Astyanax mexicanus: one gene and its partners. The protein of the gene in region 3 purifies or fractionates together with the protein of the main gene of each other region. This does not show direct contact. Links are inferred from orthologs where the notes say so. Each region holds a gene or a part of one and is shown on either strand. Other genes may lie near its edges.

What was found.
Region 1: the proteins of nfkbib (region 3) and nfkb1 purify together in Homo sapiens (affinity purification with mass spectrometry; 7 studies listed by BioGRID and IntAct, counting the BioPlex papers as one, with this or other methods). This does not show direct contact. The link is inferred for Astyanax mexicanus from reciprocal best matches to the Homo sapiens genes NFKBIB and NFKB1.
Region 2: the proteins of nfkbib (region 3) and polr1e purify together in Homo sapiens (affinity purification with mass spectrometry; 3 studies listed by BioGRID and IntAct, counting the BioPlex papers as one, with this or other methods). This does not show direct contact. The link is inferred for Astyanax mexicanus from reciprocal best matches to the Homo sapiens genes NFKBIB and POLR1E.

What each region holds. Positions count from the first base shown.
Region 1 is NC_064426.1:2,198,999-2,206,201, reverse strand, and holds the start of nfkb1 (nuclear factor NF-kappa-B p105 subunit), read right to left. Parts: upstream 3,100-7,203; 5' UTR 2,829-3,099; intron 4-2,828; 5' UTR 1-3. Other genes in the region: ube2d2l (ubiquitin-conjugating enzyme E2D 2 (UBC4/5 homolog, yeast), like), read right to left, coding at 6,153-6,201, 6,822-6,915, 7,022-7,127.
Region 2 is NC_064432.1:23,894,314-23,901,561, forward strand, and holds the start of polr1e (DNA-directed RNA polymerase I subunit RPA49), read right to left. Parts: upstream 3,045-7,248; 5' UTR 2,997-3,044; coding exon 2,936-2,996; intron 1,978-2,935; coding exon 1,874-1,977; intron 1,775-1,873; coding exon 1,698-1,774; intron 1,473-1,697; coding exon 1,387-1,472; intron 1,138-1,386; coding exon 1,085-1,137; intron 170-1,084; coding exon 25-169; intron 1-24. Other genes in the region: tmem192 (transmembrane protein 192), read left to right, coding at 3,842-3,871, 5,481-5,633, 5,997-6,258, 6,987-7,124. UniProt on the Homo sapiens protein: Component of RNA polymerase I (Pol I), a DNA-dependent RNA polymerase which synthesizes ribosomal RNA precursors using the four ribonucleoside triphosphates as substrates.
Region 3 is NC_064408.1:33,211,209-33,218,773, forward strand, and holds the start of nfkbib (NF-kappa-B inhibitor beta), read right to left. Parts: upstream 3,056-7,565; 5' UTR 2,570-3,055; coding exon 2,100-2,569; intron 876-2,099; coding exon 758-875; intron 1-757. UniProt on the Homo sapiens protein: Inhibits NF-kappa-B by complexing with and trapping it in the cytoplasm.

The DNA of each region.
Region 1 (7,203 bases), on a different chromosome or scaffold from region 3:
TTCCTGCAAAAGAGAGTGAGAAGAAATGGACTATTAGTTTTTTTTTTTTTTTTTACAACAGCTACAGCCCAACACATAAGATAAGAGCTTAAAACCAAATGTTTTCAATCAACCAATCATCCAATTAACTGAACTCAGGTATTCCAATCACTTGCATGGCCACAGGTGTGAATAAAAAAAAATAATGAAAGAATGGGTTGCTCTCAGAAGCTCAGTGAACGCACTGTGGTACCGTGTGATAGGATGCAGCACCTGTGCAACAACAAGTCCAGTCGTGAAATTTTACTACTAAACTCACTACTAAATATTCCAAAGCCAACTGTCAGTGATATTTTAATAAAGTGGAAGAGACTGGGAATGACAGCGACTCGAGTCCATCACTACAGACCTTTAAACGTCATGTAGCTTCAGATCAGATCAAGAACAATAGACCGTAGAAAGACTCATGGAATGGAGAGTTCAAATGTCAGAGCATTAATATGAGATATTTTAGGCAGCAAGTAAACAATCAACCCCTAAAACTGACTGTGAGAAGACTTTCAGAAGATCCAGGCTAGGGTTGCACGATATTAGAGAGAAAAAACTGACATTGTAATATTTTGCTTATCTGCAATTCATACTGGCATGTTCTCCTCCACCAGTCTTACACACTGCTTTTGGATAACTTTATGCTGCTTTACTCCTGGTGTGAACATTTAAGCAGTTCAGTTTGGTGGTTTGATGGTTTGTGTTCATCCATCTTCCTCTTGATTATATTCCAGAGGTTTTCAATTTGGTAAAATCAAAGAAAGTTTAAGTGGTCTCTTATTTGTTTTCCAGAGCTGTATATTGTTTGTATTAACCTTTACTTACATTACATATGTATATATCGTGTTTGTATTGTTGTTGTTTTGTAGAAAGGGACATTTAAATGTACTAATTATAAATGTGCATTAATATTAATTATATATTATGGAAGAACTTTTAAATGAAAGATTAAAGGTTGCTTTTCCATCATACAGTCAAAAATTGAAGGTTTATTCAACTTTCTTGCTATCAGTGTTGTTTGAGGCTTCATACTAACTTATATAGTATAGAGTAAAATAAAATAAGCCGTATAGAACTTACAGCTGAAAATAATAATAAAAACCTAAAAAAGGTTAAAGCTAAGCTCTGACAGGGAGTAGAAATAACAGCTAGCTAATTTACAGTGAGTGCACTTTCACAGCCCTGTAATTATATTTAAAATAATCTTTCTCTTTATTGAACATTATTTAACCAATATATATATATATATATATATATATATATATATATATATATATATATATATATATATATATATATATATATATATATCATATTATATTTTTATTCAGTCTGTTAACTAAAGCTGAAGCGGCTGAGCTGTAAAAACACGGTCAAAGCCTCGAATTAATGAGCTAATGTTAGTTAGCATGCTAAGCTAAGCTAGGCTAAACCTAAGCTAAGCTAAAGCCCTCAGTCTGTGTGTGGAAATGGGAAGTAGCAGAGCGAAGTTCAGCTAAATCAGCTAAATCCAACTTCATTTTCTGAGATTGTGGTCGGATTTCGCCGCAACTTTAACCCGCTGTCGTGTAGGAAACTTATATTAAGTTTATACGGTTTAAAAGTGCTAAATTAAGTGTTTTAACAGCACTGGGACTCGGAGTTAACAAGCCAACAAGTCGGCAAGTCAACAAAATACCCAGACTCTCAGTTTGAGTCAGTTTCAGTCAGTTTAAGATGCTGAGCAGCCTCTGATATTTCATATTCTTAATTAATATACTGGGATTTTATTGAGAAATGAAATGACTAACACATACGAGTGTAAACTTGTGGTTTTATTTGTTTAAACACATCAATAACAAGACCATGTTCTTCAGTTCAGCTTCGTCTGATAGTGCTGAGAGTGGGCTGCGTCCCAAATCCCACCACTACCTAACCTATAGTAGTGCTGCACTATTGACTAGTGCCTTATAACACTTTAAAACTGTGGGCTGTATCCCGATCCCACCACTAGACGCTTTGGACGCAGCCCAAAGCTAAAAGCCATCCAAAATTTGATTTATTACAGTGACATTTGTAAGACTTAAGACTTTAAAACAGTGGGCTGTATCCCGAATATCACCACTAGCTAACTAGATAGCTCCACTAGCTAACGGTGTTGAATTAACTTGCTTTGATATACTCTGCAAACTACTGGTATAGTTATCTAGCTAGGTGTGTAAGAGTGCTTATTTGAACGCAGCCGAATGATACCTACCTACAAAGACATCCAAATAAAACAAAAGCAGATTAATCTTAGGGACATTTATTTAAAATATCTCAAAATCAACCACTAGCCAGCTATACTACTACTCATGCTCCATTGACTGTATAGTCTGCAAACTTAAGTTAGCTAACTAGCTAAGTAACTAGTGAGGTAGAGTACTTATTTGGACACAGCCCAAAACTACCTACAAAGTCATCCAAATGAAACAAAAGCGGATTTATTATTATAGGGAAATCTTAAGACTTAATGATTTGAAAGTGTTATAGAGCGCATAATGTGGGTTAATTCCCCACTATTAATATATTAAAACGTATCTCAGATTAGATAGATTAGTAATATCTTAAAAGTAATATTTTTAATGAATGTTGTGAATGGTTAGAGTTAATAACTATACTATGAGCAGTTAGGTAGTTAGGCAATAGTTGGTGTTCTATATAAGGATATATATATGTAGAGCAGATATAAGTGTCAGTGTTTATATGACATAAACAGCAGTAAAACAGCAGTAAAGTGTGTGTAGACTGTAGAGTGCAGTGTGTGGAGCTCAGTCCGCTACCTGTGCTGGTGTGTCTGGCCGCTCCACATGTGCTGTCAGTCCGCAGAGAGAGCTCAGGCAGGCGGGTAAGGAGCCATGCAGCCCCGCGGGTGGCGCAGAGCTCCGGCCGGGCGGGCGTTCGGCTGGGTGCGGAGGAGAGGCTCGGGCGCAGTGCGGGTGAATTATCCGGCGGATCGGAGGCGATATCGAGTTAATGGTCGCCGCTCGAGCGCGGATCGATCTGTTTGTAAAGAAAAGTTCACTTCCTTACTGGAAATTCCCTGTGACGTAACGCAACTTCTCCTCCAGCAAAGCCGGCCGCTGCGGGGGCGACACCTGCTGGTCAAACCCGGTAATTACCGTCTTATTGAATTGTGTAATAATACAGTGTGTACAAACACTGCTATAAAAATATTGTCATTTAAAGCATTTGATTTATTTGCAGAAAATGTAAAATGTTATAATAATGGACATCAGGTATTTTCTTTATTTTTAAATATTTTGTTGCACTTCACACTATTTGAGAGATGTTATTCATCAGAATAGACCATAAAACACCCAATCAACAAGTTTATAAATCAATGAAAGAGTAACTACGGCCTATTTACTGCAAAAACACTGGAAAAACTGAAGTACTAGAGCCATTATGGCAAAGTAACAGCAAATTTCTACTAATTTTAATGTGATTTATAACACTTTTTAATCATGTTTTTTCATGTTTAGGGATGCTTTATGAAATAAAAAGAGCAATATAAAAATATAAAATATCACACACAGGCTTCCAATGCAGGGAAACAAAAAAATTGGATTAATTTGCTATATAGATTTTATAGTAGAATATTAGAGTCAGAAAACAGCATTCTTATTAAGCCATGGGAACGGGATCCTAATGCTTGGGAACGAGATAAATAAGGCATGTGAATGAGATCATGGCCATGACTGATTATGGTGTGGGATTGAGATAATTAATTCATAGCCAGAAAATAATAAAACTTGCTGTTCTATAAATGAATGCACATAAAGAAACTGAATATTTTTATAAATAAATACAATTATAAATAAATACCCAAATAATTATTATTTTTTTAATATTGCAATCCCACACAAAGTATTACAAGACTACTTAAAGTTAATGCATGCAGTAAAGACGACACCACTCTTAAATCAGTACTTTTACCAACTTTATTGAGAAAACAAATGAACAGCTAGTGGAGCTATTAGTTGACCGGTCATCCGTCAGGAGCGTCCAATCATAAATTCAGTGCAACAAGCCAACAGTGTGGAGGAGGAAGGCAGATGAACTAATAGCTCCTCGTTCTATAAACGACAGGGGGAAGAAATGAAACAGCCAGGAAAACGGAGTAACAAAATAAAAGTTCTCAAGTGGACACGTGTGTTTAACACTGTTTTCTCAGCAGACGGCTGACCCATTCACGGTTATTATCCTAACGACATGCATAAAATAGATCTTATATTCTTCAGAACTGCTGATGGAACCATGGGGCCGGTTCTGCCCGTGGCGAGTCAGTCAGAAGCAGGAGGAGTATAGTTCACAGACTGGATCATTGCTATTGTAAAAGCATTTTTTCATATATAAAAAAGTGAAGGCCAACCCAGTGACAGATTGTTCACAAAAGGACCATTATTTAATCTATTCATTTATTTATTTATTCATTATATATTTATACATATAGATTTTTTTTATCGTTATAGCACCTCCAGTATGTGGCGTGAGATAAAAGCGCTTGATACTCTTATTTATTTGCTTTATGTCTTTGTTTTATTACACCTGGTTACAGAGTGGGCGGGGTCCTCGACGATACACATGCTTCGTAGTTCAGACCCGAGAGCGTTTTACAAAAGATGGACAGAGCGTGATCTCGCCGTGACGTCCTCTCGCTCGCAGCGCAGGACACTTTAACAGGGACAGAAAACAACTAAACAAAATCACTGGTTTGGTTGGAGATGAGGTGGGGGTGGTGGAGGCTGGTGGGGGTGGAGGGGAAGTGCCAGATCGTTGAGAAGGTGGGAGAAGGGGGCTATAATGCAGATCTGTTGGGGTGAGATTCCGTCAGGTATCACATGGCGTATTTCTGAGTCCATTCCCGAGCTATTCTGTTATACCTGAGAGAGAGAGAGAGAGAGAGAGAGAGGGAGGGAGAGAGAGAGAGAGAGAGAGAGAGGGAGAGAGAGAGAGAGAGAGAGAGACTGCATTAAACCACTGTAAATATATTCCTAAATAAACTTTATGTAAATGTTTTAATTGCTGTTTTTCATAAAGTTATTCACTCATTAGCTTTTGTCATGACTTATCATCATTAGTCACTCTATTATTTGCATTGGCAACTTGTTGACAGCTGTTATTTACAATTCATGCTGATAAAACTACTTGAATTCCAACATTCGAGAGAGAGAGAGAAAGAGAATACCAACAGATACATAACTAAAACTATTTGAATTCAAGAGATAGATAGATAGAGAGAATACCAACAAACTAAACTACTAAACTATCTGAATTCATGAGAGAAAGAATATCAAGAGAAAGATAACAAAAACTACTTGAATTCAAGAAAGAAAGATTCAAGAAAGAGAGAAAGAATGCGAGAGAGACAGAGGAAAAAATACCAATAGAAACATACATAAAACTACATGAATTCAAGAAAGAGAGATAGAGAAAGAGAGAAACACCAATTGAATTCAAGAGACAGAGATATAAAGAAAGAGAGAGAGATAAATACCAATAAAAAAACTAAACCTATAATTCTAATAAACTTTAATTCAAGAGAGAAAGATGATGAAGAAGAGAGAAAGAGAGAGAGAGAGAGAGAGAGAGAGAGAGAGGAGATAGACCCACTGAACAATAAGTAGACAGACAGACAGATTACTTATGTGTTCTTTCATAGTCTGATAGATCACTTCACTATTCATTTACTATGTAGGAACAAAAACGCCTGTATATGGAGAGGAACAAGCAAGTAAGAGAGGAAGTAAAAGAGAGAAAGAGAAAGAGAGAGAGAGAGATTGATTAACAGTGGTGCTGAGGAGTGCTAATGTAACGATAGTGTCGCATGCTGGGCAAGCGAGCACTGCTCTGCCAACTGTGCCCATGCCAACACACACACACACACACACACACACACACACACACACACACACACACACACACACACACACACACACACACACACACACACACACACACACACACACACAAAAACAGCAAGGTCAAAGCTGAAAGCATTCTGCCTCTGTTTTACACACCGTCCTCATCTCTCCTAATGCTGAACACCATCTGCATAACACGCTTACACACACCAGCACTTCCCACAATGCCCGGCCTTACCCCTACAGTGTGGCATACTTCTCTGTCCACTCTCTGGCCAGTCTATTATACCTGAGGGAGGGAAAGCGGCCCAGCTCATCAGTGAGACCCCCACTGAGATCAGGGCAGGGCTGGAACACTATATCGATATTGTGATATATTGCATTGTTTCGATTGTATCGTATCGTACCGTATCAACAAGTGGCGTCTTGCATGCATATTTTATTAAAACAGGCGCATTAAAGTCCCCAAATCTCGCCCACCGATTAGACTTACTAAAGTTACTGCTTTATTACTCCACATGGTGGCGCTATAATCAAATGAATAGGGTCATTAAACCTGTGGTGAAGAAAATTGGTTGTTAAATTCTGTGAAACTGACGCAAATAAATCCGTAATTCCTGGTATTTGCTTATTTAAGAGTGTTTTATCCTCTTCAGTAATACATATGCCTTGTAACACATTGAGTATCACAGTATTATAAAAATATCACAATTCACTGAACATGATAACGATATAAGGATATCGTTTTGTAAAATGCCGCTTTTAAATCTGTTTGTTTTCCGATTATCCAATTCATATGAACACGTCAATTATTGAATAAAGCAGATTACTGACTAACTCTGTTCTGTAAATGCATTCAATATTGATTATTCTCACTTAAAAAAACACAATATATGATACGATACTTACTTTTCATTGTCTGTTTTATATATGCGAGCTATCTCTGGCACTAGCGGGTCGTCTGGGTTGGGGTCACATAACAGAGAGCAGATGGACAAGAGAACTGCAGGAAGAATCAAACACCATCATTATTCACAGCAACCACCAAAACACTTTAAAACACAGTCCTCCTCATGTACTGTTTTACTGTTCAGTGTGAAGGGGCTTACCTTTAGAAATAGTTAATGCTGGTGACCACTGCGATCTTAGAATATCCAAACAGATGCTGCCATTACTGTTAATATTTGGGTGATAAATTCTTGTGGTGAAAGCAACCTGCAGAGAAGAGGGAGAGAATGACAGATTACTGATACAAACTGAATTAAGTGTTATACATCCACACAAAATCAAA
Region 2 (7,248 bases), on a different chromosome or scaffold from region 3:
AAGTGAAGAAGTTGTGAAATTTACCCTCCAGTCCTTTCTGGTTGATGACGCTCCCGGCTGCTCGGTCCACCGCCTTCTGCAGCGTCTCGTTCCCGACCTCGTTCAGCCGCCGCAAGCTCAGAGCTCGCTTCTGCTTCGTCGTACCGAACGCCTCGATCAGAGCGTCCACCTGCAACCAACCAATATTGGGACACTTTTTACCTACAGAACCGTAAAGCCTGCTCTATTCTAAACCTTTATATGGAACCAATCCCCCTTTAAATCTCTATTCTAAACCTCCTGCCTGCAGGGAATCAGCCCTGTCCTTTTACTCTAGCACACTTTTTTCTCTTTCTTTTCTTTCTGTTTTCTCTATCTAAATCACGATTTTACATATTGGGTCCACCCCATGCCATGACATGCAGCCACTGCCGGTCGCAGCTGGTCTGAATCAGGACTGATTGAGCAGCCCGCTGTTCGATAGGTAGCACAACTCGACAGAAAACCGAAATACAGACTCAGCCCTCAGGTGACTACAGGTCGCTACAGGTGAGAGGAAGGCTAAGGCAGAACGGACCCTTAAAAGATTGAAAGTCACAAATTAAGAGACTAGAGCCCCACTGGGTCAGTGGAGTGACTGCCCGGTGCCTCCTGACTACCCATCACGGTGGCCACGCCCCCATCCCTTTTTAATCTAAAATATCTGAAAACGCTACTGATTTCTGAAGTGGTTCTCCATCTTACCTGATAACCGGCGCCTCCCACAGACTTAACATAACATATTAAAATATTTTTTAAACAGGACTGAGCTCGTACTTATATATATATATATATATATATATTTTTTTTTTTTTTTTTTTTTTTTAGGGTAAACATAGTTTTGAACCATTTCTTTGTCATTTGTTTTACATTTTTAGTAGGGGGTGAACAAAATAGATTATATTCGAAAATCGGATTTTTGGGGAAAAGATCATTTTTAGGCCATATTAAAGGCGTGGACCTGTTTTCCTCTGTAAAGCTGCTTTGTAACAACTTTTGTTGTAAAAAGCGCTATACATAAAAAAAATAATAATAAAAATGTAATTGAATTGCATTGTAGACTCACCTTGTCTCTGTAGGTCTTGGTCTCGTTTTTATCAGCGTCTGCTGCTGTTTCTCCTGAGAAAATGAAACAGTCCTGTTATTTTTCCAATCCAAATACTTTTCCTTCCTAATACTTAATGACATTTTCAATTATTCATTTGCCAATGATAAGATTAAAAAAAAAAAAAACATTTCAGCACTAAAAAAAAAACAAACTCTAAAGACTTTTAAATGGTCGAGCAAGCATCAGACAGTACACTCTCTCTCCCAGTGAAGATCATCTAAACACTACAGGTGTGTGTAAGGTGTTTGAGAGGTGTGTACCTGGTATACTGGGCAGCAAGTTGAAGAGTTGAGCATTATGAACCTTCATCTCCATCGTCCTTTTATCCAGCACTCCCACAAAATACCTACAGAATAAAAGTCCATTCAGTAACTTACCTAATTATATTACATATACTAGTGCATCTAAAAAAAAAAAATCACTTCATGCTTCCCTCTGCTGACAACATTTATGGAAATGCGGATTTCATTTTCCAGCAGGACTAGCCACGCTTTTAAAAAGTACCAATTGGTCTTATATAATATTCTAATTTTACTCTTAAACACATGTTTTAACCTTTAACTCCACCTACCTGCACAGATTGTTGCACTGTAAGGATCCGGGTCCGAAGTTATTCCCAACGTACGCCAGCCTGTCTGACTCTGCAGCCTAAACACACATACAGTACATATATATTTATATATTAATACAGCTGCGTGTGTGTGTGTGTTTAGTGCTGTAAATGAAATGTAGAATCTGTGTATTTACGATGATCCGGCGGCGCTTCTTCCTCGGGTTTGATTCGTCCACATGTTTAAAGAGTCTGAAGTCCAGCTGCTCAGAGTTCTTCACCTCTCCATTAGAGAACTTCACTGCAAACACAGAACAGAGAGGAGAACACAGAGTGGGAATTAAACTGTATTTAAAATAATGTAAAAATAGTTTAGCAGTTTAAATCATCACTGAATTACTAATGAGCTAAATAATCATTATTAAATGTAAACCATTATTATAAGATGATAAATCTGAAAAACATCCTATAATTAGGAGAAAGAATAATTGCAATACCTTTAAAATATGTATACAAATATGCAAAGCATGTTAATCAAACCTAGGAAAAAAATTTGAAAAATCAAGTGAAATTGTTATCAAATGACTCCATTAAATTCTTTTCTATACTATTAATGGTATAAGTATTGTCTGCTATTACTGTAGTGTTTTGGACTAATGTAAGGTCAAACTTATCTATTAATAATAAAATCTACTAAAATATCTATTTTCTTTTGCATAAACCAGATTTTGGAGTCTTACAAAACCAGCAAATCAAACTGTTATCAAATGATACCATTAAAGTCTCATGGACGCTTTTCTATGCTATTATTGGTTTAAGTTTCCTGTGATATTATTGTAGTATTTTGGAATAATTGGAGATCAAACTTAAGAAAAATATCTATTGGGTTTTGCATAAATCAGATTTTGGAGTCCTATAAAACCAGCCAATCAAACTGCAATCAAATGATACCATTAAAGTCTCATATATGCTTTTCTATAATATTAATGGTTTAAGTTTCCAGTGATATTATTGTAGTACTTTGGAGTAACAGCAGGTCAAACTTGGGAAAAAGGTCTAATCAATTAATATATTGTTTATGCTGATTCTGAACCGATACAGGAGCTACAGCTGCAGCACGTGGGTAAGAAACAGTAATAATAATCTGTTTATCTCAAACACAGAGCGTTCCTGCTGCAGATTAAAGCAGTAATAACTATAGTTAAAGTTTATATTAGAGATATATGAGTTTATAACAGAGATATGAGGGTTTAAATCACCGATCACTGCGTCCTCCTGCCCGCTCGTATTACACGCTGTCCACGCACAGGGCGCCGCCATGCTGTAGTGAGGGTTGCCAGGTCCAACAAAAATATCCAACCCAAAAGTCAGTCTAAAACCCGCCCTTCAGAAGCTTAAAACCAGCCCATAATATATGTCTGTCACACGTTTAAAGCAAAAGGCAAAACAACTATGAGTGAACGACTTAGTATTTTGTTTATAAGGGATTTATTACCAGTATTGCCATATATCTAAATAATAGTCATTAATTATATTGTGACATCAGTGTTGTATTAGTTATTTTATAACATGTTTTAAATATCATCATCAGTCATTTAATAGTAATATAATTAGCTAAAAACGGACTTTTAATTACTCTTTTCTGTATTCGCCCCTCCTGAACTCTCTTCTCTTCTCTTTAACATTTATTTTTTCATTGCCTTGTGATTTCTGGTTACATTGTACATTGTTTCTATTTCTAAATAGTAGAGTTTGGCTATGAACATTTATTAACTTGACTTTTTCCCTTTACTGTTTTCCAAAAATCTGATCTGAAAATTCTCAGTTAAATATGCTATTAAGAATTTGAATATATTTTTTTATTATTGTATATTAATAATATTATTATTAATGCTGTTTTGTTGTATGATAAGAATATATATATAGAAGAAACCATAAATATAAACGTGAATAGAAAAAAGGGCGTGGTAGTGGTAGTATTTTAAAGGACAAATTAGACGAAAAAGACTTTTAATTTGACGGGTGTCAGCAGCTCCCTGGTAGCGGAAGTAGAATGTGTGGTGTTTTGAAGCTGGTGTATAAATGTTGAGTAATAAACTGTTTATATGATTTTATTTGTAATTTAGTAGAGTTTAGAGAGTTTAATAAACTACAGCAGCTTTATTATGGGCTCTAAGCGACCCGCAGCTCCTCAGGTGAGATTTAAACCTGTGTGTTTGGGTTATTCTGGTGTAAATAATGCACTAACAACTAATTGTATTTATATTGTTTATATTGTTGTGTTTTTTATTATTTTTATTTATGGAGCGTTTTTTAATTGTGTTTAATAATAAAAGCAGAGTTTATTTTACATTTATATGCATATAACTTATATATTTAACAAACAAGCAGTTTATTGGCTCTGTATTTCATAGAGTGTGACTGTTGAGTTATTCAGTTGTTGAATCGTGTATTAATATAGTTAAATCAAGATTTTCTGCTATTTTAGCTGGTTTTAGATTGTTTGCATTGGGTTCTGTTGTGTTATATTGTGTTGCATTGTGTTATATTGTCATCTATTGGGGTTATTTTGGGTTCTGTTGGGTTATATTGTCTTTTATTGTGCTTATATTGAGGTATATTGTGTTTAGATCTATTGTGTTTATATTGAGTTATTTTGGGTTTCATTGTATTTATTTGGTTCTTTTGGGATATATTGTGAATATACTGGGATTTATTGGGTTTTATTGTGTTCTCTTGTTGTTATATTGTGTTTATATCGGGATCTATTGGGATATATTGTCTTTATATTGGGTAATATTGGATTCGATTGTGCTTGTATTCTGTTTATATTGGGTTATATTGTGTTATTCGGATGTATTGCATTCTGTTGCATTTATTGGCTTCTATTGTGATTATTTGGTTCTGTTGGGATATATTGTGTTTTTTGGATCTATTTGGCTAAATTGTGTTTATATTGTGTTTTCTTATTTATGTTGTGTTTGTATTGTTTTATAATGGGATATATTGGGTTACATTATTGTTGTATTGTGTTTATTTTGGGATCGGTTGGGTTATATAGTGTTTATATTTGGGTTTTTGGGTTATATTGTTACTATGTTCTATTGCGTTATATTGTGTTTTAAATTGGGTTCTATTGGATTCTGTTGTGTTTATGTTAAATTATGTTGGGTTATATTGGGTTCTACTTGGTTCCTTTAGAAAAAACGCCTCAGTATTGAATGTGGGCCAAGGTTATTCAGGGTTATTTAGGGTTATAACAATATGTTTTGTGCTGGACCCTGTTTACATGGAACAAATAGATCCTATTCTGTTTTTACCAAACTGTACATTTATATTAGTTTTGTCAAAAAGGTGTACTCTAAAGCCTGTAAAATTTATTTTGGTTTTGATTTGTTTTAATTAGTTTTTAGTCTCTGTCTGGTATTAAACAACCTTAAATGTAATAATTAAATTTCCCCATAACTGCAGATACCCTGTGTATGAGAGCAGGGCTCATAACGGCCTCTCCGTCTTTTTTATAGCTGATTGATACAGTTCTGTCACAATGGGGCCGTTGGTAAAGGTAAAGGTGAGGTGCTGCAGTAGCAGAGCTGTGGGATTGATCTGCTGGACAGTTCTCACTTTTGGGAATAAAGAGTCTGAACGATGATCATTCTCAGCTCTTTTAGAAGCTCCGACTGAAGTGTGGCACATCAAACAGCCTCCATCTAAACACTTCCTACTGCAGCCACACACTTTATACTCTCACTGATCTCCTGTCACTGATCTCCTGTCCTTATGTGTGTGTGTGTGTGTGTGCAGAGTAACCCCAGTACTGATTATACTCAGAGTATAGAGGATGACCCGCTGATGGACGGGCCGCTCATATCTCAGGATGCTCTGGAGTCGGCCATCAGGAGAGAGTTCCAGAAACTTCCCACAGCCTGGATCACCGGATTACTGACTGCAGCACACGTCAGTACACACACACACACACACACACACACACAAGTGTGATTTAAAAACCAGGGTTATTCCACCAAATATTTATTTCTGAACTCTTAAAACTTTATGAAAATGAACATGTTTTCTTTGCATTATTTGAGCCATTATTTAATTATTTCAGCCATTTCTCAGTTTCTGCAAATAAATGCTCTAAATGACAATATTTTTATTTGGAATTTGGGAGAAATGTTGTGCGTACTTTATGGAATAAAACAACAAAGTTCATTTTGTTCAAACATATACTCAAACATGAGACATTTATTCTGTGATAAGTAACCAGTTGTTGAATCTGTAAGTGTGTATGATGTGTGTGATCACTGTGTGTGTCCTCAGGTTGCGTATGTGAGCGTGAGCGTGGTGCTGGCGGTTCTGTGCTGGTTGGCGGAGGATCACTCGGAGCAGTGTAACGCAGTGCTGAACGGGGTGGACTCTCAGACCGTGGTGCTGCTGGGGAAGGTGGGGCTGTGGCTGCTGGTGTTCGGGTTCGAGTGGTGTGTGAACCACCACCACACTACAGCCAGGAGGAGAGGATACCTGCAGTTCTACAGAGCCAATCAGGACCTCAAACGCCTGCCCCTGTTCATACACTCTGCAGGTACTGACCCACACACTGCAAGATCCCAGAAATCCTCCAGGAGGCAGCATTTCCCATCACTCTCTTAATACACTGCATTTACACTCAGTTTAATACAGCACAGCTCTAATTCTGACCAATACACTTCATTTACACTCAGTTTAATACACTACAGCTCTAATTCTGACCAATACACTTCATTTACACTCAGTCTAATACAGTACAGCTTTAATTCTGACCAATGCACTTCATTTACACACAGTTTAATACAGTACAGCTCTAATTATGACCAATACACTGCATTTACACTCAGTTTAATACAGTACAGCTCTAATTCTGACCAATACACTTCATTTACACTCAGTCTAATACAGTACAGCTTTAATTCTGACCAATGCACTTCATTTACACACAGTTTAATACAGTACAGATCTAATTCTGAAAAATACACTTCATTTACACTCAGTTTAATACAGTACAGCTCTAATTCTGACCAATACACTTCATTTTCACTCAGTTTAGTTTAGTACAGTGAAGTAACATTCAGTTGAATCCAGTTTAATTTCAATTCATTTCAAATACAGTGCAGCCAAATCCAGTTTAATCCAGTTCAACTCCACTTAAGTTGAATACAGTTCAGCTCCATTCAGTTTAATGCTGTTAAACTCCTCCCTTTTCTCTGCTGTTCTCTTTATCTCTCCTTTCTTGTCCTTTATTACCCCTCGCTGTCTCTCTCGCTCTCTCCGCAGGTAATGCGGCGCTGCTGGTGGTGATTGGCCCCGCCCCCCTGCTGGACAAGAAAGTGAAGAATCTCTCTGTTTATCTCCTGCTGTGCATCATCTGTCTGGAGCTGCTCTTCACTCTCATATGCCTGATCGTATACACAGGTACATCCAGCAGCCCTGACTCACTCACTCGCTGCCTAAACACTCCCACTCCTTCCCTCACTCCATTCCTTCTTACACACTCTCACTTACTCCCTTCCTCACTACACACTCCCTCAATCTCCTC
Region 3 (7,565 bases):
TAGTCAAAAAAAATAAAATAAATAAATAAATAAAATCCAGGCACATATTAAATAATATATTTAATAATACAAGTGTAATTTGTAACTTCGTCTGATTGTAGCAAATATCTTTTAAACAAATAAAAGATAAATATGCAATTCAGTGCAACTGCTGTGTATTAGTTTCTCCACAAGGTTATTAGCACTCAGTTAGTTTAGCATGTACCATTAGCAATGAAGTAAGACTCCAAAATCCTCCTGTGAATGCCCACAACAATATGCTGTTTCTCAATAAATAGACACTGTTTTCGACATTAGTTCAGTTACACAAATATACTACATAGAAACTGGTGTTCCCTGAATTTTGTGTTACTTTATTTATTTGATGTTTTTTGCTACTCGAAGCTAGCTTTTTTTTTTGGACATTCCCACACCAGCTAGCCATCTATATGCATGCGATCCTTAAACAGAAGAATTTTAGCATTTGTATGAGGTACAGGGACTTAAAGAAAATCATATTTACAGTTTTCGGAGTGCTGTTTTTTTTCTTCCTTTTTTACATTTTCAGATTTTGTTTCATGTTTATATCTGAATTCTGCTTTTTTGATAGGGCCCTACTAGTAATCTGCTGATATAAATACATAAACATTTGTAGATTGTAGAAATTTAGGTTATTTCTATATTTTTAATTCTGTAATTCTCAAGCAGATATGTACTATGCAAATATCATGCTGCCCTAATGTGTGTGTGTTTGTGTGTGTGTGTATTTCCAGCTGACCTGTCCCAGATCATTCTGAATGTCCAGGTATGGGGTCCAGGTGTGGTTGTGGGAGATGAGCTCCAGCAGGTATTGCACAAATCCCCACTGCTCGTGGATCAGCGCCAGGTGTAGTGCACTGCCAGAACAGGAAAAGGTCAAAAAGGTCAGCAGACATAAAACAGCAGTAGCAGGAAAGACCCAGAAAAGACCCAAAGAGCCCAACTAATGTTCCAGGTGGTCTCTTTCACCCAGCTTAGTACCTAAACCCAGACAGATTGTTTAATAACAGCTGTATTAATTTTTATATGACACTTTTTACACCTCCCAGAATTAAACAGGGCTGGGTTAACCAAAGCATTATGGCACAAAGGCAGTTCTTAAATGTTCATGCAAGCATCACAATGAGAACTTGCTCTACCAATTAAGATAATCTTGACCCTATAGACATTCTCACACTACAGTTTTTTTTTCCTAGGCCTAGAACTGCTTCCTAAGCCAAACTGATATATTAAACACCTATTGAGCTGTGGATGGAACAGTATGTTTGCGAACTATGTATACTGCACCACAATCTTGTTTTATTATTATTCAGATCTATATTTACTTAGGTAATCTAATATTGATTCATATAAACTGGCAGTGTGAATTGATTCAAAATTTTATTCACATTAATCAACAATATTCTGTAATTAATCATGATACTATCCTTGTTTTCTTGTAAGGGGGGACAAAAAGCACACTAATGTCAACAATTGACAAAATAAATGACAAAAGAGGAAAACAGTAGCTGTGCTGTGTTTACCACATTTAAAACTGCTAAAACAAATACACTGCAAGGCTCTGTAAAAAATACTGTATATATCACAATAATGTCTACCACATTACACCTTATACAAAAATGTTATACTATTATATTATCTTTATATCAGAGGCATTTTAAAAAGAAAATAATTTTGTTTATTTCAATTATTTCTGCCACAATATACCTTCTACTTTTTATGTGACAGACCTGGCTGATAACAATAATAATAACAATAATAATAACAATAAACCTTTTTCTTATCAAAGCTTTTTTTAATTTTTAAGTGAAATATCCCTAAATAAATATCGAATCAAATTCGACTTGTGAACCGGAATCGAATCGATTCATATTCAAATCAGTGCTGATACCCAGCCCTAGTATTGGCCTTTTACACCTCTGGTGAAACGTGCCAGGTTGTCCAGTCTGTTATGCAATAGTGGTCTCAACGCACACTTTACATTTAGATTAACAGGTTAAACATTTTATCGTCTTTAACAGCGCTGATTATGAATAATTAAAACATCGTGATCTAACTTAGCTTATAGAAAAGTTTCTTACGTGTCTCCGTCCTCCGACACAAAGCTCAGAGTCCTCCAGAGCTCCTCTTTCCTCTGCTCTTCCTCCCGGGCTCTCTCTTCTCCGTCCCCGGCTCCCGCTGCCTTCTCCTCGGCTTCCCCCGCGAGCAGCACGGTCCTGATCCCGGCCGACAGGCTCTCCACCGCCGCCGCCTCGTCTGTGATGGAGTCCCCGATAGCGGAGTCCAGCCTCTCCCCTCCTCCGCCGCCCAGAGACACGCACTCCCCGCTCTGACTCTCTCCCGCTCCGCCGCAGTCCGCCGGGAACCCGCGGGGCCACGGCAGCTCCAGCACGGGCTCGTTCTCGGCGTCGAGGAAGGAGTCGAGCCCGCTGTCGCACCAGTCCTCAGGGGGGATCTCCGAGCGCCCCTTCCCGGCCCCGGGCTGCCCGTCCTGCTCCCCATAGCCGCCGCTCTGGAGGTCTTGGGAGAACCGTTGGTGCGCCCACTCCATTTATAATCATTTAGCTGGCTATAGCTCCGAGAAAATCAAGCCTCTGTCGTTAATGCCAGCCACTTTCTCCTCCGGATCAAAAACCAAACAAACTACCCGCTGGTTTTAGCTAACGTTACTGTTTACAGAGAGCTCGCCCGCTGTTAGCCACCTAGCGCTAACAAGCTAACCAGCTAACGGGCTAATCGGCTAGCCCGAGTTTAGCTCAGCTCTGGCCGTTTGTTTTCAGGGCCGTTTTTCGTCTGGGATCAAATTCCGCCACAACAACAGCGCCAGGCGCCTCCGCGGCGTGATTCAGCCCCGTTTCCATGTCTCTGTCCGCTCCATATTAAACCCTTCACTCAGCCGTGCGAGCAGCACACCCGCGGCTCCACAGCGGCCAAGTTTCCAGAAAAAGCCTCTCGCCTTTCGCTGGCTGAGTAGGTGATTTCCCGGGGAATTCCCAGCCCGGACCGGTTCGATTGGGGATTTTGTTACACAGGCGTCTCAAATTGCTCCCAGCTCCCTACACCCTACTGCCTATGTAGCACACTTCTGTTCCAATAGGTCACACCACTAGTTACGGTCAGTGTAACGTTTATTAATTGAACTTTCTGACCGTTATAGGCTAAATACAAAGATAGAAAATTGGATGTAAAAACTAAATTAATAACATTTTAAAATGTAGTGCAGTGTACAAGAAATACGTTTTTATCCATGTTTCCAATTTTATTTCTTTTTTTTATCTCAGGAAAATAAAAAAATGGATATTTTCTTTATTTTCTGATTTGTCAATTTTTGCATTTTGCAAGTTGGATTAAACCATCAGATTTGTGTTACAAGACACAAAAATGGACAAATCCAAAAGTCGAGAGAAGATTCATCGTTTTAATTTTCGTGGATGTTTGTTTGTGAAAGGCTGAAATAAAAAAAAGATAAGTGAAAATCTATTTCATCTTCACTATACTGAATGTAAAAAAAATATTAAGTTTTATACCCAATTTTCTATTTTCGAATGTAGCCTGATACAGTCAGAAAATGAAACTGCTAAACGTTACACTGACCAGTTCAACACATTTCATTAAAATTTTATTCAAATTTAATTGGCCCATGCATTAGTTACAGTACTTATAAACACAGTGATCTGTAGTTTTTATAAACATGGTCAGGATTTTGAGTGCAGCATTTTAAACATGTAGAGAAAAACAGCAAGTCATGATTTATTTGAACACTGGTATTTTTGTTATTGCATATTATTGTAATTGTGTGCAATTGTTTAAAAGTTTAGATATTAAACATGTTAGTCAGCATTACTGCATAATGCAATACTCACCACAGATAACAAAAATACTTTTAAACTCTATGTCTGTCTATAAATCTGTCTATCTATTGTTATGTCATTCTATTGTTCCTTCTTTCGTTCTATGGTTCTAATGCTTTGTTGGTAGTTTGTGGGTGTGTTTGTGACATATCTTGTTATAGAACCACAAAAAGTAAGGTAAGACCAGTTTTGTAAATGCAAATAAGAGGAAACACACACAGTTGTTTTAACATCTACTTTGACTTTTTAGACTGCAGACATGTATTGTCTTCACTTCATTTCATTTGTTATTATATATCCATTCCTGCATTTCAGGCCTGTAACCCATTCCAAAAAAAAACAAAAAACAAAGGCAATGTACAAACTACATTTTTAAACATGTTAAAACAGTGTTGTTTACTTCTCACATAAACCAAGCAAATGTGCAATTCTGAGGTATCACCTAAAGAATTACTTCTGCACTTCTGCACTTAGGCTTATATGTGTGATCCCAATCCCATATTGGTAAATGGAAATCCAACACCCAGAAGAGAAGAGTATTTTTGCAGTGTTTATTTAAGGGACTTTTTTTTTTTTTGGTAATCCCCTGCAGGCCACACTGGACTATCAGGCTATAGTCTTGAATGAGCGCACCCTCATTTTCGCAACATCATTGGTCACTGACTCTTTTTGGTTGAAACATCAGATCTATATATATATATATATATATATATATATATATATATATATATATATATATATATATATATATATATATATACAAAATGAGTAGTATTATATGCTTGTTTAGAGTGTATAACAAAAAAAGAGGAGATTGTTGCATGAACAGCAGTTTTATGAATACACCACAAAGAGTGTTGTGAGGCACCATTTAACTTATATCCTCTGCCATTTAGAGAAGAGGAGCTGCTGCAGTAGTTGAAGATGCTTCATTTAAAACATCCACCATTCATCTTCTTTTAGTACTTTGTGGCGGGGAAAACAGCACCACAGTTTCCATATCCAAAGAAATCCACAGAAAGCTGCTGTACCTCATCTTCCACTAGATGGAGCTCAGGAGCTGGAGAACAGCTGCAGCCACTCATTTGTTAGCAGTTAGTCAGGGATACAGGCTAGCACAGCTTTGCTTGGCCAGTAAAGAGTAACGTACCTCATGCAGTAATGAGAACCAAGATTTTAATCTCTCTAACTGGATAATATCACTCCAGAGTGCATCTTTCAGCCCATAAAGTGAGTAGCAGAGCACATAAACACCACTAACCACAAGTACAGCAGCAGAAGCTAGGTTAAAGGAAACACCTTCAAAATAACCTTAGTGCTCTATAGTTTCAAATTTGAGTTCCACAGTACAGTTCTGGATTAATAGATTCTCTCAGCTGGAGCTAAACCAGAGTGTTAGTTTATTGCTGTTATTATTAAAATAATATAATAATATAAATAATATATAAAAAATTAAAATATAGGCTAATTTGAGCCAAAAAATTGTCAGGAAAAAAGGCAATGAGATGGCGGATGTTAGGAAAGGCCCCCTACCTGCAATATTTACATGTATATTTCTCCTGAAACCCATTTATTTACAGTAAGCTTCAAGGTGGCCAACATTATGTGGCATCTAGCTCCGTCGATACCAGTGATTGGCTAATTGAGCTAAGTGGTGAACGGCCCCATCATGTGTTTGCGAGGCTCCTGGGGTTAGCTCTTAGGCTAACATCTTCCCTGACACACAAGCACCGCATTAGTAGTGGTACTGTACTTAAGTACTAAAACACTGTATCTGCATTTACTGAAGTAATATGTTTTTTAAAGAGTTTTAATTCTCTTACTCTGATCATTTTTTATTGTGCTGCATCGTTATTCGTTACAATTATAAAAATGTTACGAATCAATCCAAACAGGCATTATCACTAAAGCAAGAGGGTTATATGCTCTGCAGTGTCACAGGGTTTGATAAAGCTGCTCAACATTAAAAGAATCATTGAGAGATTCAAGTGATTAAGCTGATTTTATAAGAAGACAGCGCTGCTCCTGTTTTGCCTTTTACTCTGCTGCCAGCCTGCATTGAGAACACTTGAGCTTTATTAGTTTGTTTTGAGATGAAAGAACCGGAAACACCACCTCTAGCACCTTCAACTTTCGAATAATAGTGGTGAGGGTAAGAAAGGAGACCACCCCTGGCCCTGCTTAGAGTTCATGTTTTTATTTGTGGGAGTGGGGAAGAGAAGAGAGACATGTTTTAAAGGGGAAAAGGAGAAAATTTATCTTTTTTATATATAAAGGGTTAAGCTCAGTGTTTTAAGATACTCTAATCACTTGTTTTTACGTATTTAACACTTGTATGTGGCATTTGCCTTCTTTAGTGGATTTTACAATAGTTATAAAATATACTAATGTCTTGCTGTCAATTTTCTTTAGCATTTCTTTTGGAAGAGTTTGTTTAGAGAGTTAATTGGAGATGTCATGTGCTTGTATTCTATCTTGTACAGTCCTGTGTTTGTACTGCTGCTACAGCAAAATGTTTTGTGAGTTTTCTTTAGCCTAAACATTTGATGATAAACAATATAAACATTTTTTTTACTGCTTTCTGTAATAACTACACAATAATGACACAGTACTTGTACTTTTATTTTCAGTATTTGAGTAGTACATTTTAAATTAAAGTACTTAAGTAGAAAATTGTTGAATACTTTTGTAGATCAATTTGAACTGTACTGGCAGTTGGGAGTTTTGTTTTTCAGTGTTAACCTACTCCGCACACAGCATGTTGATATATAGGTATATTTTGCACCACCAGATGGCAGAACACACACATGTGAAAGTCTCCATCCTTTTCAAACAAAGGAACATCCTTTCTGAGCATACCCTGATGATGTCATACTCATGGGGATCAGCTCTTCTTCAGGAATATCAGCATCAGGGTATAGCTTATGTTTTGGATGCAGTGCGACACTTTCCTCTTGAATGATGAAAAAAAACAGTTTTCCAACTGTATTGAGCAGATATGCTGGATCATCAGCCTTTCCAGAGATGATTTCCAGTGTGATTTAAGAGCTGGATATTGTGCTTAAAGTGACCATGGTGGTGACCATGAAGGGGGCTGAATCAGGCATGGGAAAATGATTAGTTGGTGGTTTTGTTGATAATGCTGCTGTATAAAATCAATAATAACCATGCGATTTTAGGACAAATGGAAAATGATAAAAAAATATATATATATAGGAAAAATACAGTAACAAACGTTTTCTTCACCTATTTGGTAAAGAAAAAACTAAAAATTAAATAAAAAGAAAAAAAAAAACAATATAACAATGTTCTTTTGGTGATATTTCTAATTTTATTTGTCCAAAAGGTGATCATGACAGGATCTGACATGCCCAGATGGCTCACCTTGACACCATTCCTGGATATCTGTGTCATACATTCTGAAGAATTTAAGATGCTACAAAGATTTTTGAAACAATGCTCTGATAAAACCTTATGATAAAAAGCTGTGAGTGTGAAGAGACCTTTAATTGGTGAATAATCTATCAAATCAAACTAAATTAAAATGAGGGAAAAACAACATACATAGAAATAGAAATAGAAAAACATGCCTCAGTTCCACTGTGTCACAGAGGTGGCATCTATAATTATATTTTTGTCCACTTTACAAAAATGCATTTTAATGTAACCAAAAAGTTTTTTTTAATGATTACAAGT